Bombyx mori: one gene and its partner. The protein of the gene in region 1 interacts with the protein of each later gene in a pairwise test. Links are inferred from orthologs where the notes say so. Each region holds a gene or a part of one and is shown on either strand. Other genes may lie near its edges.

Region 1 (2,505 bases):
ATTTCGATTGGTCAGTAGTAGTCACAAAACATTTTCGTCTTGACTTCGTATCAAACTATAGGGCGCTAACATGAAAATAAATTCACAAATTTCTTATATTTTAATTTATTTTATTTTTATAGAGATCGCGTGTTGTGTAGGTTGATTAAAATAATCAATCAACTTGCGTGCTCAAAATTCATTTTATTTTATTACAGGTGGCAATGCGGTTCCCGCGTGGGCAATTAGCTTGATGGCTGGAATTGGAATGTTGATCATCGGTGGCGTCTTATATGTAGTTATGAGGAAACTCGTTCTATCTTCGGAAACGGGTTCACTGAATACTTACCAACCTGCTATGCAGCAAGAAGTATAAAACTACAGTTTTTTTTTTTATAATGTACCTACGTTAAAACGATTCGAATTTGAAACTTTTTAATAAAAACACATGATTCGAGATAAATTTATTTATTCATAGCAGTTACAAACGCGCAATATACTTTTTAGTTAATACTTAACATGTCAGTTGTAGTGAATTGGTGACGAAAAGCATGATGCTCCAATTCACATGCATTTTGATAGATTTAATCTCTGTCGTTTGTTGAATGTGCTACTAGCATGTGTCATGTATAGGTCTTGTGAAAAAAAAAAAACTTTTATTTTCAACAAAACGTGACATTTTCAATTTATAGAACTTGTAAAATTAATTATCAGTCGTAATTGAGTAGATCACAATTAAATCTGTTCATTTGGTAGTTAAGAACTCACTTTTACAATGAATCGTTACAAGCATTTATTTTTAAATTTAATTTGTTCTTATATGTTTTTAATGTAAACTAATGAAAATTAAACTTCTTTCAAAAACAATGTTGAACATTTTCTTACACGCTAGTGCAACAGGACGAAGTTGAAGTGACGGTAAAAAAAATATATCTTTAAAACTCTCTGCGATGATATTTGTCAGGATCGAAGTAGGATGTGACGACGACTCTGTTACTGAACTTGCGTCCTGTGAGCGTCTGCTGCGCTTTCTGGCAATCTGCAATACTGTTGAACTCGACAAATACCTGATAAAAAAAACGTTTTTTAACAAAAAAAATGTGGATTTTATTCGTTTATTCCAGTCTTTTTATTTATTTATTGCTTTGATGGTTGGACGAGCTCACAGCCCACCTGGTGTTAAGTGGTTACTGGAGCCCATAGACATCTACAAAATAATTGCGCCACCCACCTTGAGATATAAGTTGTGAGGTCTCAGTATAGTTACGACGGCTGCCCCACCCTTCAAACCGAAACGCATTACTGCTTCACGGCAGAAATAGGCGGGGTGGTGGTACCTACCCGTGCGGACTCACAACAGGTCCTACCACCAGTAATAAATTCCATAGTCGTATATATGGACCTCTCTTATGTTGGTTTATTACAATGTGAATGTCACCACCTACCTTGAGATATGAGGTATCTATAACATTCAATTGTTTAGTGTATGTACTTAACGACTTTCCTACTAATTCCTAAATGAAAACTTCACGACAGAAATTTAAAGTGTGGCATGTTTATGATAATATGATATTTGAGTTTTGTAGAAATCATCTCATATTATTTCTTATAGCTACATTTATAGACTCGATTATTTCGTATAATTTTATTTTTATTATTTATCTCAGTTTAAAAATATGAGAATATTTTGATGAGCTTGTTATATCAATTTGTACAACTAATTTATTTTGACCTAAAAGTACATAGAAGCAGTAAGACATACTCAATTATGATTTCCAAACCATTAATTTTAAATATAAATATTTACCTTGCCGCATCCAGGTACTTCGACTCCTTCAATTGGTCTTGGAATTTCTATACTACGCACAACACCATATTTGTTGCATTCCTCCCTGAAATACCATATTTTTAGTGAGTCTCATATTCATTTTTTATAGCTAGGAATGTACAGTAATAATTACATTACTAATTCTTTTTTTGTTATTGATTTGATGGGTGGACGAGCCCACGGCCCACCTGACGTTAGGTGGATACCGGAGCCCATAGACAACAACAACGTTAACGCCGCCACACCCATTGAGACATGAGTTTTAAGTCTCAGTTTTTACAGTACAATGGCTGCCCTATTCTTTAAGTCGAAACGCATTACTACTTCACGGCAGAAATGGACAGTATTGTGGGACCTACCTAGGCAGGTAATCACACAAATTGGGATTTTTGCAGGTTTGATTTTATTACTCAATGTTATTTCTTCGCGAATTTTTGTTAAGGTACACAGGTAAAGGTTTTTTTTATTAAAAAAAAATTGATTGAGTATAAAAAAGAGTTCCATTAAAATTGTAAACTATAATTTTCAAAAAGAAAGAAGTCTATGAAAGAAATCATTTTTGTTGTTTCATTTATATGACTTGTACTTATGTTCCATGCAGTAACAATTAAAAAAAAGCTTAAATAAATGTGAATAGTTTATCAGGAAGTTATTCTTATTTCTATTTTATTTATTTATTTTTATTACATTATGAAGAA
Region 2 (4,119 bases), on another chromosome or scaffold:
GGTACTACTTATTGTAAGCATGCCTCGAAAAAGATCCAACCTCTCCCAGTGCAGTAGGAATGCTAAAAGGATGAAATTAGTTTGATCACAAGAATCTGAAGCAGGTCATGAGGCAATACTCACTACATCTCAGGAACGTCAGGCGAGGTTTCGTGTTAGAGAAACTTCGGCTCAGCGAGAATCTCGATTGAGTTCACATTGTTCTCAAAAAAGACCACTCGAATTAGGGTGAAGAGGGAACAGCGTGACGCAAGTTTGTCCATCGATCGTGAATCTTATACACTATCGCGTGAGTCTGAGACTTTCACTGATAGGGAATCCCGCCGGAGCTCCTCAGAGGGTTTGGACAGCAAATTCCCGGTTTTAGGAGACACTTGAAGAACGAGAAACACGTCTTACTGCCGATCGCGAGGCACATGCACTATCGCTTGAGTCTGAGACCTTTACTAATAGGGAAATCCGTCTGAGCTTTCAGAGGGCTCGGATAGCAATTACCTGGTCTCAGGACACACTTGAAGAACGAGAAGCACGTCTCTCTGCCGATTGCGAGGCTCATGCACTATCGCTTGAGTCTGATCCCTTAATTGATAGGGAAATCCGTCTGGGCTCTCAGAGGGTTCGGACAGCAAAAGCTTGCCCGGTCTCGGGAGACACTAGAAGAACGGGAAGCACAACTCACTACCGATCACGTTTCCATTGAGCCTATACTTCGTGATGATAATAAATAAAGCCCAAGGTCAGACGCTAAAAGTTGTGGGTGTAGATATAAGTGTTAACTGCTTTTCACACAGTCAACTCCGTCACACGGTTATGTAGCTCTGTCACATGTTAGCAATCCTAGCAATCTGTATGCTTTGATCCTCGATGGCTATACGTCATATCGTGTATAGAGAAGCATTACTTTAAATTAGATTTTTCTAAATACCTAAATGACGGTGCTTATAAACCAAAATATATGTCTTAAGACTGCTGCCCAAAGTCACTATTCCACGCGGGCGGAGTCGCGGGCACAGCTAGTTAACAAATAAACAAAAGAGAGCAAAGTTTCTAGCACTAAAATAATTACCACCACAGGAAGTTTATTCGAAACGCGATTTTTTATAAGTTAGCAGCTATTATCTTGCGTATTCAGAGTTGTTGTGTGAAATTTCAACATTCTACTATTAAACTACAAAAAATGGAAGATTTTGCAACGAATTTAAAACTAATATTGAGCGTCGAAAGATTTTCCTGGTTTTTTCCTCAATCACCTCTTAATCCCTAATCGCCCCATTTTACGGTACCTAAGCGTTGGTAGGTAATAATTTTACTGCCGGAGAGTGTATGGAGTTTATGGCAACATTGCAAATAAAGCCAATTTTTAATTTCAGAGATTTCATGGACTTTTCTTCGGTATTTTAGATATACCAGTAGCATTTGACATGATTGTCTTAAATAGTTAAATACTAGTTATAATTAGAAATTTTAAATGATATTTTCACATTGTTATCTGAATTATACGTTTAAATACCTACATTGGTGATACATCTGCTGACAATATTGGTTTGATCCGGTGTTCGTTTCTACGATATAACAATGGCAGAGTACTTGGCTGCTATATTTGGTACAGAAAAGGATAAGTAAGTTCGATTTGCAAAAATATTTAAATTGTTAAACATTGAAGTAAATTAGCGCCAAATATTTTGGATCAAGAGGTTATGTTTTGCGTGTGTGTCAGTAAAAATTCGAACCCGCTTTGATAAGAGCTTTATACACTTATTTTTTTTACTAGAGCTATTACCATTGCTGATTATTTTTTTAACAGAGACTAGGATATTATTCTACATAAATAGCTTGTGAAATTTCAGAGTAAACTGTTCATTTTACTTCAAAATTGGAGCGTGCCGACACGGTGATCGCTGTTCACGCATTCATAACAAGCCAACCTTTTCTCAGACTGTATTACTACAAAACTTGTATGTAAATCCACAAAATTCTGCGAAATCAGCCGATGGCAGTCATTGTAAGTATTTTTCATTCATACTAAGTTAATTATTGATCATGTGGCATTGAATTCTTTCTAAAAATTCTAAATGTTATTCTTTTTAAATTCATAAACGGGGACAAAAACGGGGAAGTGTAGGAACATAACATAATTTAAAAGCAGTGGACAAGGAAAATACGTTTCTGAAAGAATATGTACAGTCCAGCCTTAGTTTATACATTACGTGTTCATAAAATATGAATTAATTAAAATGACATAAATTTATGCTTAGCTTTCTAAATGTATTCACACATTATTCATTAAGTCAAAACCTATTTTGGTTTTGGAGAGCAGGATTCTTTACATTTTACATTGTAAATAATTTTTTTTTGTGATAGTATTATAATTTTATTGATTATTTATGATTGAATATTAAACAGAAAATGAGTGTCATTACTTCATTGTTTGAATTTATAAAGTATTTTTAAAGCTAAATTGTTTGTACTTCAATTTACAATATCAAATAATAATGAAGATAATTTTCAAATGAATTTATTTTATTTATAAAACAGTGGTTGTTGCCAACGTGTCTGATGAAGAGATGCAGGAACACTATGACAACTTTTTTGAAGATGTATTTGTTGAATGCGAAGATAAATATGGTGAGATAGAAGAAATGAATGTTTGTGACAATCTTGGGGACCATTTAGTTGGAAATGTTTATATTAAAGTAAGTATTTTTAAATTCTATATATATATTTTTTTAATTACAGGACTACTAATTAATATAAGTGCAAAATGTACTTGTAACTTAATCTTGAAAAGAATGAAGGTTGAAATTTTAGTCTTTCTCATTTCTTCATAATTCATTTTCATCTTTTAGTGTTTTCAGTTCTAAGCTAAGTAAGCATAAACCAATTGAGGTTCTTTTTGATTGTGTAAGATATATTAGGCAAGGGTATTACCAATGTTTAAGAGAAAGGTTTACGGTAGTTTTAGTGGTTAAAAGTGCTACTTATCCGACCCAGGTGAAGGGGCAACGCAAAGTCGCCGTCGTCCAGAACTTGTCTTGTCGGATCCCCCAGATCCACTTTCGGTCCTTTTAGACTCCTGAAGCACCGATCACCGTCGTCGCCCATCTTGTGGATTACGACGAAGAGTTCGACGCGCGAACTAACCCGTAGACACGGCCCACTGTGTTTCTCGGCGGATCTTCTCAGTGGGTCGCGATTTCGATTTGGTTGTAGATTATGAAAATCACTGCTCTTGTTAGGGCTAATGTTAGCAAATTCACTCAGGTTGAGCCCACTGAGCTCACCTACAGGTCCAGGCGTAGTTGGAATAGTCCCTTAGGCTACCAACGAATAGGTTTTTTTTATGGCAGCGTCAGATCATATACCTTGGGCTTCCATAATACCATAGTTAAAATTTATAATTATGAAATCAGTTCTTTACTTAAATTGTTTTGTTACATTTGTAGTCAAATAAGCTCTGGCTACCAAATTTTAAGTGATTACATAGATATCACCACATGAATGCTGTCACCCTCTTTGGGACATGGGGTCTTAATCTCATGTTATTCTTTCATAATGGAAGTCACCTGTCAATTATGTGTTTCACAAGAAAAAAATGTACTTGCCTGTGAAATTTGAACACCTGCATAGTTACTAAGGTCAATATTAGGCATTTTGTCATTTACTAGCAGTGTACCAGTAGACAATGGTCTTATGATTTAAGCGATAATGACATCCATGGATCTTTTACTTCTAGGTTTAAAATTTGGTCCCTGTTTAAAGCCATGGCAAAAATAGTACACAATTTGCTCTATTACCAGTTGCCTAATTAAGTAGCTATTATGGAAAATAGTGTATAAGTTTAGTTTATTTAAATTACTTATTGATAATTGTACTCCTGTATCAATAGAAGTTAGAACATTATTAAAATTTCGTTTCAGTTTCGTCGAGAGGAAGATGCTGAGAAAGCAGTTAACGATTTAAATAACCGCTGGTTTGGAGGCCGGCCAGTCTATGCAGAACTCTCGCCGGTGACGGATTTTCGCGAAGCATGCTGTCGTCAGTATGAGATGGGAGAATGCACCCGAAGTGGATTTTGCAACTTCATGCATCTGAAACCTATTTCAAGAGAACTGAGAAGGT

Evidence for each region.
Region 2: the proteins of U2 small nuclear ribonucleoprotein auxiliary factor 2 (region 1) and splicing factor U2af 38 kDa subunit interact in binary tests that used the Drosophila melanogaster proteins (3 or more experiments, as listed by UniProt). The link is inferred for Bombyx mori from reciprocal best matches to the Drosophila melanogaster genes U2af50 and U2af38.

What each region holds. Positions count from the first base shown.
Region 1 is NC_085123.1:10,731,961-10,734,465, reverse strand, and holds part of U2 small nuclear ribonucleoprotein auxiliary factor 2, read right to left. Parts: intron 1,872-2,505; coding exon 1,787-1,871; intron 1,047-1,786; coding exon 915-1,046; 3' UTR 200-914; exon of another isoform or gene 198-199; intron 1-197. UniProt on the Drosophila melanogaster protein: Necessary for the splicing of pre-mRNA. Binds to the polypyrimidine tract of introns early during spliceosome assembly.
Region 2 is NC_085118.1:11,668,300-11,672,418, forward strand, and holds the start of splicing factor U2af 38 kDa subunit, read left to right. Parts: upstream 1-1,319; 5' UTR 1,320-1,575; coding exon 1,576-1,619; intron 1,620-1,847; coding exon 1,848-2,002; intron 2,003-2,535; coding exon 2,536-2,693; intron 2,694-3,917; coding exon 3,918-4,117; intron 4,118-4,119. UniProt on the Drosophila melanogaster protein: Necessary for the splicing of pre-mRNA. Binds to the polypyrimidine tract of introns early during spliceosome assembly.